Linked DNA regions of Daphnia pulex. The protein of the gene in region 1 purifies or fractionates together with the protein of each later gene. This does not show direct contact. Links are inferred from orthologs where the notes say so. Each region holds a gene or a part of one and is shown in the gene's direction. Other genes may lie near its edges.

Evidence for each region.
Region 2: the proteins of cullin-associated NEDD8-dissociated protein 1-like (region 1) and cullin-2-like purify together in Homo sapiens (affinity purification with western blotting; 7 studies listed by BioGRID and IntAct, with this or other methods). This does not show direct contact. The link is inferred for Daphnia pulex from reciprocal best matches to the Homo sapiens genes CAND1 and CUL2.
Region 3: the proteins of cullin-associated NEDD8-dissociated protein 1-like (region 1) and DCN1-like protein 3 purify together in Homo sapiens (affinity purification with western blotting; 3 studies listed by BioGRID, with this or other methods). This does not show direct contact. The link is inferred for Daphnia pulex from reciprocal best matches to the Homo sapiens genes CAND1 and DCUN1D3.

The regions. Positions count from the first base shown.
Region 1 is NC_060021.1:5,208,518-5,211,945, reverse strand, and holds the end of cullin-associated NEDD8-dissociated protein 1-like, read left to right. Parts: coding exon 1-49; intron 50-108; coding exon 109-337; intron 338-414; coding exon 415-680; intron 681-771; coding exon 772-1,076; intron 1,077-1,128; coding exon 1,129-1,578; intron 1,579-1,640; coding exon 1,641-1,769; intron 1,770-1,852; coding exon 1,853-2,018; intron 2,019-2,088; coding exon 2,089-2,264; intron 2,265-2,332; coding exon 2,333-2,440; intron 2,441-2,517; coding exon 2,518-2,607; 3' UTR 2,608-2,911; downstream 2,912-3,428. Other genes in the region: GTP-binding protein Rheb-like, read right to left, coding at 3,139-3,231, 3,312-3,428. UniProt on the Homo sapiens protein: Key assembly factor of SCF (SKP1-CUL1-F-box protein) E3 ubiquitin ligase complexes that promotes the exchange of the substrate-recognition F-box subunit in SCF complexes, thereby playing a key role in the cellular repertoire of SCF complexes.
Region 2 is NC_060021.1:10,405,197-10,409,344, reverse strand, and holds the start of cullin-2-like, read left to right. Parts: upstream 1-1,189; 5' UTR 1,190-1,552; coding exon 1,553-1,872; intron 1,873-1,935; coding exon 1,936-2,045; intron 2,046-2,104; coding exon 2,105-2,345; intron 2,346-2,403; coding exon 2,404-2,650; intron 2,651-2,711; coding exon 2,712-3,845; intron 3,846-3,934; coding exon 3,935-4,129; 3' UTR 4,130-4,148. Other genes in the region: solute carrier family 25 member 46-like, read right to left, coding at 33-178, 265-321, 457-635, 693-802, 874-1,021.
Region 3 is NC_060026.1:10,627,971-10,632,006, reverse strand, and holds DCN1-like protein 3, read left to right. Parts: upstream 1-1,598; 5' UTR 1,599-1,640; coding exon 1,641-1,740; intron 1,741-1,805; coding exon 1,806-1,976; intron 1,977-2,040; coding exon 2,041-2,327; intron 2,328-2,389; coding exon 2,390-2,661; intron 2,662-2,721; coding exon 2,722-2,884; 3' UTR 2,885-3,521; downstream 3,522-4,036. Other genes in the region: nucleolar complex protein 2 homolog, read right to left, coding at 1-273, 884-1,052, 1,133-1,240, 1,314-1,337; uncharacterized protein LOC124205018, read left to right, coding at 3,932-3,957, 4,018-4,036. UniProt on the Homo sapiens protein: Contributes to the neddylation of all cullins by transferring NEDD8 from N-terminally acetylated NEDD8-conjugating E2s enzyme to different cullin C-terminal domain-RBX complexes and may play a role in the cell cycle progression by regulating the SCF ubiquitin E3 ligase complex, after UV damage.

The DNA.
Region 1 (3,428 bases):
ATTTCATGCATGGGTTTCATAGTTTCTCATCTGGGAGATCACCTTGCTGGTAAGAAATTAAAAATGATAAATTCTGCATACTTTTGAATTCACAACTTCTTTGCTCAGATCAACTAATGGTATGCCTCCCCATCTTTTTGGATCGTCTTCGAAACGAGATTACCCGGTTAACGACAGTCAAAGCTTTAACAAAAATTGCTTCGTCTCCGTTACACATCAATATAAGCCCATTGTTGCCCGAAGCACTTCCAATTCTTGCGGGATTTTTGCGTAAGAACCAGCGGGCACTTAAACTAACTACCCTTGCTTTGCTCGATCGTATCGTCAACAACTACAGGTAATAACTTACTTAAAAGTTTTATGTTTTTCCTCTTGGTTCCCTTTAAGACTTCTCTTTCTTTGTTTTTTTTTTAGCGCTGCGCTAACACCGGAACTACTGCATGCGGTTTTAACCGAAATACCGCCTCTGCTGTCGGAATCTGATTTGCACATCGCGCAGCTAACCCTTCATTTGCTCACTTCTGTTGCGCGGAATCAGCGTTCGGCGTTTCAAACCGGTGGAGTTAATGGAGGCATTTTGTCCGAAGTCTTCAATCTCTTGCGCTCACCTTTGCTTCAAGGTGTGGCTCTGGGATCCCTTCTCGATTTCCTACAGGCTTTGGTCGAGTTTAATGCTCCGGGTTAGTGATTTTTTTTCTCTTAATTTCAACTGTATTACTTAGAAGACAACTTATTAACAATATTAACTGTTCACTTTTACTTTCCATTCAGGATCTGGTCTTGGCTACCGCGATTTGTTGATGTGTCTGATGAATTTGGCGTCAAAACCTGGTCTCCACAAGACTGCCCATCATTCTGTCGCCCAGGCTGTTGCTTCACTGGTTGTGACGCAACCTGTTTCTGAAGCTTTTACTTTGGTACAGAATTTTCTTCAGGAAGCTCAGAGACCTCATTCTGATTGGCAACACATCTTTGCCCTGCTCTGCATGGGAGAAATTGGCAAAAGAATGGATCTTCACCAAGTCCCAGGGTTGGGACAAGCAATCATCGATTCCTTCGGCCCACCAAATGAAGAAGTATTTCTAATCTTTTCTAACGTCAACATCAATCTATATCCGTTTTCTTTAGGTAAAATCTGCAGCTTCGCACGCCCTCGGTTCAGTAGCAGTGGGAAATCTTCCAGCTTTCTTGCCCTTCATTCTTACTCAGATTGAAACTCAATCACGGCGTCAGTATTTGTTGCTCCACTCGTTAAAGGAAGTGATTACTTCGCTGTCACTTGGAACCGAGGCCATTGCACAACTGCGCCCTTTCGTACCCCAAATTTGGGATCTTCTCTTCCGTCACTGCGAGTGTAACGAAGAAGGAACACGCAATGTTGTGGCGGAGTGTTTGGGAAAGCTTACTCTCACAGACCCAGAGGGATTGCTTCCACGACTTCGAGCAGCTCTGAACAGCCCTAGTGCGTTGATGAGAACCACGATCGTCACAGCAGCCAAATTCACAATTTCTGATCAAGTCCAGTCCATTGATCCTCTGCTGAAGCAATGTATGGGCGATTTCCTTCAAACCTTACAGGTAATGATCAATTTCATTGGGGTTGATTAGAACGGATCAGTATTTAATTGATTCTGTAATAGGATGATGACTTGAATGTGCGACGAGTGGCATTAATTGCCTTTAATTCGGCAGCACACAACAAGCCTTCCTTGGTCCGAGACTTACTCGATTCCGTTTTGCCTCAGCTCTATAACGAAACCAAAGTCAGAGTAAGTATTCTAGTGATGGAATCAATTTCTTAAAACTAAAATATGCTAAATAAAAAAAAATTATAACTAATTATAATTTTTAGAAAGAGTTGGTCCGCGAAGTGGAAATGGGTCCCTTTAAGCACACCGTTGACGATGGTCTTGACCTTCGTAAAGCCGCTTTCGAATGCATGTATACCCTTCTGGATTCATGTCTTGATCGATTGGATGTTTTCGAATTTTTGAATCACGTTGAACTGGGATTGAAAGGTTGGTGTTTTGTTTCTTGGAACAAAAACGATGTTACTTACAGCTCACGTTCATTTACAACTTCTTACAGATCACAACGACATCAAAATGCTGACTTATTTAATGGTTGCCCGTCTGGCCACGTTGTGTCCTACTGCCGTTCTTCAACGCCTCGATCGATTAGTCGAACCCCTACGAACTACTTGCACGGCTAGAGTTAAGGCGAATGCAGTCAAACAAGAATATGAAATGCAAAATGAACTTAAGGTGATTGATTTATTACTTTATAGAACCGAATCAAATGAATTGGTAATCAAACGAAATATTTAAAATAGCGATCTGCCATGCGAGCCGTGACTGCATTGCTGATCATTCCTGATTCGGACAAAAATCCACAACTTAACGAGTTCGTTCTGCATATTCGTTCATCACCCGATCTTCAGGTAACTAAATAACAACTGCCAAAAACCAGCACGTACTATTCGCCTAAACTTAAAATTTTTACACTTACCATTTTCAGACTCTTTTCGACTCGATCCAGAAAGATGGCTCCGGACATCATGGAAATGCTGCAGGTGGATCCAGTGATTCGAACATGGATTTAAGTTAAAGTGGTGTATAATTATGTATCTATTATCGAAAAAATCGGATCGGGGAATTGTCACGAATGAAACATTGTTTCGTTCTTTTCTTTGAAATGTCTATGGTGGATGAAAGGGAAGTAGGGGTACATGTATTAACCATTCTTCTTGAACGGATGCGTTGAACATTGTTTAAGTTCAGTTCCACTACGATGCACTTTTCAGCACGGTGTGTATCTTTTTCTGAGAAAAAAAGATCTGTTGCGTTATTTCATCTTTTCCCCCATGTCATTTTAGATATTCAAAATCGAGAAATACAACTTTCCTGCAAAATGTTAATCGTATTTAATGTTCAAAACCTAAATTTGGTGAACATCGTTTATACAAGATAAGAACCACTTACATAGTACAAATGATAAATGTATTTCGCTCACCATGAAAGCTTTTCAACGTTGCTTCACAAATCCAAGAAACCGAGATAACGGTCGTTATGAAAAACTGCGTAATATTAGAAGGGAAAAAAATTGGCGCTGGTAGATTTTTCTACATTTCATACCCGTTCAGGACAGAACACAACTGCTCTTTTCGTTTCCATTACTGCTATCTGCTTTCTCCATTTCCGTTATCAGTCGGTTAAAAATTTCGCAGACAGACTAGAGATGAAAGGAAAAAAAAAAAAATTCTTAATAGAAAGTACAATTTCAAATCTCCAAATGAATATTAATCAGCATACCTCGTGTGACCTAGCAGAAACTTCATAAAATGAGGCTTTCCAAGTGTCGGCAAGCCTTTTGCCCTCTTCTGTGCTGACTACTCTTTCACGGTGAAGGTCTGTTTTATTACCAACAAT
Region 2 (4,148 bases), about 5.2 Mb from region 1:
ATCCTAGTAAATATTTTGGAAAAATGTTTTACCTGTTTGGGGGGCAGACCAGCTTAAGAACCTATAAATCCCTTCTTGAAAAACATCAAAGATACCCGGCTTTTCACTTGCAATATCAGATTGAACAGTTTCTACAACACTTGCTGCATAAAATGGGATCACGACAGCTAGGGAAACGCTAGGGAACCAAAAAATAGATTTAAAAATTCTTTAGATATCTGCTAATAATTGTCGTATGACAATTTCAATGTGTTTTTGTGATACCTTTTCAAGAGGATGTGGTGTCCAATTGCTTTCAATGAGCTGTTACGATCAATTTCTCTAAAAAAAAAAGAAAAAAAAAACAAAAACAAGTGAATATTCTGTCAGTCTAAATATAAACACACACTGGCTATTTCAATGAACACAAGAGGACAGCTTACATGGCAACATTTGCCACTTTATATGCTAAATTACTTTGGCCATGGTGTTATCTTGCTCAGTACATCCTCAATGGCTAATGTGAGACCTCTCACAATTAAAGCACTGCCAATTCCTTTCCATAACACAGTCATGCTTTGTCTTTGGTGTAGCCTAATGACTACTGGGACCAAGCTGAAAGGTAGTGTATGGTATTTTCTAGAAAATACATTAACCTACAGATAAGCAGTATTAAAAAATTTACTATCAAATTAACGTAAAGAATTTTTCACCTGACACTGTCTTCGCAGAACTAAAAATGGATGGCATAGTAGATTTTCAGCTGCTAGTCTCATAATACCAAAACTGGGATTTGGGATTCTACTTGCATCAATCATATCATCTTACAAGAAAATAAAAATTATGTAAAGTCATTGCAAAAAAATGTGTGATGATAAAAGTCACTGTTAATACCATATCTATATTTCGGCGACGTAATAGCTTTGTTTTCATGTTGTATCCTACCATCAGTTACTGCAGAAGCAGCAGAATCAGCTTTTTTTATCCAAAAGGGAGAATTTTCTAAACTGTAATAGAACGAGTAGTCCTCAGTTCCAGCCATACTAACCTGTACACTTGATTTGATATTAATGTTTATGAATTCCAAGTAAAAAAAAAACAAACTATTTTCGTATTATGGTTAACTTTTTCTTTCGTGATACGCAGCAGACGAATAACTACTAATAATGAGCTGCCATCTGATGATAAACTAAACAACTTTTCCGTTTCTTCGCGAAGGCCAAAGGGGCCAGAGCAGACGAACCCACACTGCGCAATCGTTTTATTAATCTTCAGAATCCTTGTTCTGTGAAACCAATTGTATTCTTATTTAACCCCAGGGTCTTAAGATTCTCGAGTAAATTGATTATTCAAGGAATCTGAAACTTTGTCCTTCATTTACGATACGAAAAACAAGTAAATAACTTAAGGTCTTTTCATTGCTATTGCCAGTAGTCATTGCATGATCGTTTGTACGAAGATCAGTTTTGGTTTTCTCCCGTTGAACTTGGAAATAGGGACTCTGGCTTTTTTTGTAAAATTCCTATGATCCACTTTTTGGACTTTGATTCAGCTGTTCTAATAACTGCACAAAATGTCTCTTAAACCGAAGCGTGTAGACTTTACCACAACTTGGGCTGATTTAAAGGAAACAGTTAAAGGTGTTGTAACTCTGGGAAATGTTCCTCATACTATATGGTACAATCGATTCAGTGATGTGTATTCCCTCTGCGTGGCTTACCCAGAACCTTTAGCTGAGAAATTGTACCAAGAAACTAAAAAGTTTTTGGAGGAGCATGTTAAATCTCTTTTCATCCAAGTGAACGGCACCAGTGAAGAACAGCTTCTGACTGTGTATTACACACTTTGGCAGCAATATAGCCAAGGAATGGACTATTTGCACAAACTTTACTCGTAATTTATTCATTTCTTTTCTCTAATAAAACAAGTTAATACATGCTTTTAATTCAAATACAGATACCTTAATACCCAACACATCAAGAAACAAAAAGCATCTGATGCCGAGCTTCTTTATGGGACATTGTCTTATGAATCACCTGAACAAATGAAAGAAATCGGAGAATTGGGTAATCACTATTTGTAATTTTTTTGGTGTACTGAATCCTTATCGAAACTTGCTTGCTAGGTTTGGATTTGTGGAAGAAGTATATGATAGAGCCATTGAAAGCCGACTTGCTGAGATTACTTTTGGGAGGCATACATTGTGACCGAACTGGACAATCTTTGTATAATGAAAAGTCATCAACAATTCAGGGTGTGATTCAGTCGTTTGTTTCAGTCGAGGAATACAAGAAGAAGAACACCCTCGAACTTTATGAGGCTGTTTTTGAAGGGCCATTTCTTGAAGCGACCGGTGAATACTACAAGTAAGAAATAATTAAAATGTTAAAAATTTGCATATTACAGTTGTTTGGTCAAATTTAGGCAAGAAGCTAGTCGCTTGTTACAGGAATGCACAATTTCCTTGTATATGGAAAAAGTTTTGCAACGTCGGGACGAAGAAGATTTACGTAGTCGGAAATTCCTGCACCCAAGCTCTTACAGTAAAGTTCGAACTGAATGCGAAAAACGAATGGTAGCAGATCACTTGGCGGCTATCCACAACGAGTGCCCGACAATGGTTCAACAAGAACTCCAACAAGATCTTCGAAATGCGTACGCGTTGTTGAAGGTGAGAGCTTATCTTATTGCCTCGTAGTATAAATTTTAATTGTTTTCTAAAATTTGTTCAGTCGATTCCGGGAGGTTTGACTGTTCTGGTGTCGCACGTCATGGAACACATCAAACAACAAGGATTGCGAACAGTGACTAACCTGTCAGGAGACAACATTGCTGCCCAGTTTGTAGAGGGCATGCTTAGTGTCCACTCCAAGTACAAGGAGATCACCAACACTGTTTTCAGTAATGATCAGCTATTTAGCAGCGCTCTAGATATGGCCTGTGCTGCAGTCGTCAACCATCGCTTCAATACTAAACAAAATTGTAGGTCTCCAGAACTACTTGCCAAGTATTGTGATACTCTCTTGAAGAAGTCAACAAAAGGCGGTAGTGACACCGAAGTTGACGATAAGTTAACACAGTGCATTACTGTATTCAAGTACATCGACGACAAGGATGTTTATCAAGCTTTTTACTCACGGAAGTTGGCACATCGATTGATTTCACAACAGAGTCAAAGTATGGACGCTGAAGAGGCAATGATCAACCGATTGAAACAGGCATGCGGATATGAGTTTACCAACAAACTTCATCGAATGTTCACGGACATGTCCGTCTCATCAGACCTGAACAACAAGTTTAATCTGCTGAACAAAGATCGGATGATTGAATTAGGTCTCAACTTCTCCATCTATGTCTTGCAAACCGGTGCGTGGCCTAGACAAGTCTGCCCTACCGATTTCGCCGTACCCCAAGAGTTGGAAAAATCGGTCCAAGAATTTGAAGATTTCTATCGTCTACAGTTTAACGGCCGGAAGCTTGCATGGCTACATCACTTGAGTTACGGAGAGCTGAAACTGAACTACTTGAAAAAGCGTTACTTCATCACCATGGGAACCTTCCAAATGGCAATGCTTCTTGTCTTTCAAAAGACCAATTCCGTGACTTGTGGAGAACTCATGGAAGCCACGAAGCTTAACTCGGATCAATTCCAAAAGGTCCTTCAGAGCTTAGTCGACTCAAAGCTTTTGGCAGTAACTAGTGACACTGTCGAAGTTTTCCAACCATCTACAGTCATTTCCCTCAATATGGATTATAGTAACAAACGAACCAAGTTTCGTATTAACAACACTATCCAAAAGGAGACTGTCCAAGAAACCGAGACGACGCATTCTTCTGTAAACGAAGACAGGAAAATGTACCTTCAGGTAAGAATTATACGAATATTTTAGCGTAATGCGTTAGAAATCCGAAAACAAACTAAAGTTTTTTTTTTTTTTTCATTTGGCTTTCCAAGGCTACAATCGTTCGAATCATGAAATCTAGGAAGATTCTTCGCCACATGGTCTTAATTCAGGAGGTGTTGAGCCAGTCCCAACCCCGATTTGCTCCTCCCATTTGCATGATAAAAAAGTGCATTGAGACATTGATTGACAAGCAGTACCTGGAGCGTACCCCTAATTCAACGGACGAATATAGCTATGTGGCATAGAAAATGCAATCTCAACGTT
Region 3 (4,036 bases), on another chromosome or scaffold:
CTTCCTCATCTACTTCACTTTCAATTTCTTCTCCAGCTTCTACATCTGATTTTGTGGAGTCTTCGTCAATGCTTGAAGTGTTGTCTTCACTTTCTGATGAGTTAATAAACTCGTCGAGGCTCAATTTCGCCCATTTCTGATCTTTAACAACGGCGACATTGTTACCATTTAATTTTTTTGTTTGGCTTTGGATTGGTTTCTTGATAGGTCCACCTTTAGGTTTCCCAACAAATTTGCTATTGGTTTTAGATTGTTTCTTCATGTTGAGCACACAAACGATTGTCAAAATGAAAATGTAAAAGTAACACCGCTTTTAACTTACGCTAACGATGGACAACACGTGTCGCAGCCGTGTCTAAGAGCAGACGACTTAAAATGCTAGACTGTCATTTGTTTTTTTGGAAGAAAACAGTTTCGGGCAATTTCATTGGTTTACTGAAAAGCCGTCTGGATTGGACTAAAAAGTTTCAAATTTTTCCGTGTAAATCAAATATAGGTCTAAATTCTTAATTGTTTTGTTATTATAAATTTTTAATTCTAGACGTTTTAAACTATGAACAGTCGTTGTTCTATTTATCTTTTAAAATCTCATTCCATATTTAACTCTAACATTCCTTTTCTAAAAAAAAAGTAGTATCATATCATCATATTATCATAGTTTTAACCCAATTATTGTATGAAGTTTTTAACACAATTAACATATTTTATTTATGCAAGGCATATGTCATTAAAGAGCCTAAATGCATCATAACTGTAAACACAGTTAGGGAATTCTTAAATGATAGTGACACATGTGGTCTAATTAGATAATCAGAAAGCAATGTATTCAGCCTTTGACATTTCAAAACAATGAAAGAATTTGAGTTAATTTGTCAAACTGAACCCCTCATTGGAGGGGAGACCAGAATCACACCATCTCCACGTACAAAGAGCATGGGAATGTTGCGTTTAGTTGTTCTGTAAACTTCTTCATAAGTTTCTTCATCAATTTCAACAGTGGTTACTGTTTCTTCTACCTCACCTAGCACCATGTTCAAATGTTGATCATATGCCTATGGACCATAAACAATAATACAATATATTTTGGGAACACAATTTTATAGCAAAAAGCAATTTAATGTGCTCGACTTACATGTAGCCGGCCTCTCAACTCTCGTTCATTTCGCATTTTGACGTAAATTCTTTCATCGAGACTTAGGCGAATCAAATCAAGTGGCTCTTCCACAGTAATTACAGGGGCCTAAATGAAAGTGGCAATATGAAAGCTTGAATTATTAATTTAAAATTTAAAAAATGTGGAGTTGTATACATACTGAAGTTTCGTTTTCGTCCGCCATTTTGAATCTAGTGTAAAGTGTATTTTTCGGACGCAAGGAGGCTTTGTGATGCCTGTGTGCTTCGGACTAAACGTCACCCCCTCCCCCCACAAGTGTTTTGTGTGCCAGGGTTTTCCTTTCATTTTCTACATGATTCTCCTTTATATATTGGGTAGCTTTATATCTTACGAGATTTTCACGTAAAACGAGATCAGGGCTCAATGGTGATGTGCTAGTTACGATTTAAAAAGAAAAAGTGAATCGAAGGGAAGGGATTGAAGTTGTGAGGCTATAGCGCGCGATTCGGGTTTGTGAAATCCATCCATGGGGAATTGCTGCTCCTGTGTTAAAAGTGAGGCGAATACCAGATCATCCGTTGCTCCTGGAAATTATTCTCTTTCATCAAGTAAACTAGAAGACTCTGGTTAGTTGAAAATTTAATTTATAATGTACCTTTGTGTAACCCAATCCTTTTTCATGGTCACACAGATACATACCGTCCTTCACAATCGGAAGAGCTAGAGGACTCTAACCTGGTCATCAGCTCTGAAACATATGTGAATGGAAGTGGGTTGGACGCTAGAGACTCTAAAGGGGAGATGCGTAGGCCCTTTTATGTGCTCATTCCACCACTGGTTGGAAGAGGGAGTAATAGCTCAGGTGAATAAACATTTCTTTGTTATGAAGCCACCCATACACTTACTAAATTTTACATCTCAAACAGGTGATATTAAGAAGACAAACAACAATACCATCAATGGTGCATTAAGCACTGGTGGAATGGGGAATGGAACTAGTGCAGTGGAAGTGTCAGAAAACAATTTAGTGGCCTTCTATGAAAGCTACTGTGGAAATACTGAAGACAGGATTGAAGATGCCATAACCACTGATGGAATACTTCATCTGTGTGCTGATTTGGATTTAGCGGCTGACGACTTTCGTATTCTTTTATTTGCATGGAAGTGCGATGCAGCTCAAATGGGCAAGCTCAGCAAGAATGAATTCTTACAAGTAACAACACTAACAAATAATTTATTTAAAAAATTGAAATTAATGTGTAATCATTTATCCAGGGATGTCGACTATTAGGAACAGATTCGCCTCGTAGTCTCAAGTTCAGCTTAGAACAATTAGTAAAAGAAGTAGAGGACAGCGAAGTTTTCAGTGACGTTTACCGCTATGCGTTTCGCTTCGCTCTGGATGTAGAGTGTGGTCAACGCTCTTTGCCTGTTGATGTAGCCGTTTCACTTTGGCGGCTTGTATTTACTCATCGACCCGTCCCTCTCCTTGATCGTTGGATCGAATTTCTTGAACAGTCTCCTCCACCTGTTCGAGCTATACCCAGGTACAAATCACCAACAGTTGGGCATTTCAATGCAATTTAAATTTAAATTCTCTTCTTCAGGGATACATGGTGCATGTTTCTACACTTAGTGGACGCTGTGGGAAATGATCTTTCCCGCTACGACGACACAGAAGCTTGGCCTAGCCTTTTTGACGATTTCGTTGAATGGGCCAATGATCGAGCCAACCAAAATGTGCTGCACGCCAAGGAAGAACTACACTGATGGTGATCAACCCTCAGCTTCTTCCCGTATTCGTTTCGCTTTGCTGTATTAAGTTTTTCTCTCTTCTCACCTTGAATCGTTTCAGATGAGTGTATTAACTATGTGGTTTTTTAAGACATGATAATTGCTGATGGATGAGTGAGTTATTGAATTCGTATTTGTATCGGTTAGTTTACTTTGAATCTTCGTCCACCTTGACTCTCATTTATACTATGAAAACAATATCTGCTGTGATTCCTTGACGACTTTCGCCGTACAGAGTACTGACCTGCCAATGTCCCTCTTTTTTAAACGGCCCCTCTTGTTCACGTCTTTGAAATATCGTGTCTTTCTCAAACCACCTTTATTTTCTCCAATTGTTTATACTGTAGTTTGAGAAGAACTGTCTTTGATTGGTAACAATTTGATTGACCATGATTGCCACTCTAAAGAGTAGGTATATATTGGTATTTCTGTATACCCACCCTTTTTTCCCGAATGTAACGTACCGTAAGCCTGTTTGTGTGTTTATGTAAAATCGGTATTTTTCCTGTGACTGTTGATTGCTTTCTACTTGTTTATGTGCTATTCTTAGACCACTGTGGATGAAGACATCAATACAGATGTGAATGTAAGCCTTTGGCTTATACAGATGAAATTGTTTGTTCTTAGTTTGAAAACTTTGTAGTTAGTGAAGTGGCATCCTTATATAAATCCTCAACCAACCCAACATACATATATATTTAGTTTATAATTATTTTTATGTTGTTGTTTGTTAAAAAAAAGGAAACCGCAAACCAGCCGCAAACTAGAACTCAATAAACCAGATTTTAGAAAATTATAACCCTGTTCAGGCAGGCCTGTATCCCATGCCCATCCTCCGTTTCCCGTTTATTCTCCCTCCGACCCTCCCCCTTCTGAATCTGACCGCCAGGCGGCTCCTAAGTGATAGCAGACTACACTTGAAGACTAACCGAAAGAGAGAGAGTGATTTTCGCCGCTATTTCAAACAAGGCGTAATCTTTGTTTGGAATTTGATTGAAGGTCTTACTTTTCAATGTGCTTAAAATGGAAGTTGCAAAGCCAAATACCAGGTACTACTTGATAACTCATGGAATAAATGTATGCTGACTTATTTTTATATCTCTTTGAAGAACTCGGAAAGTGATAAAT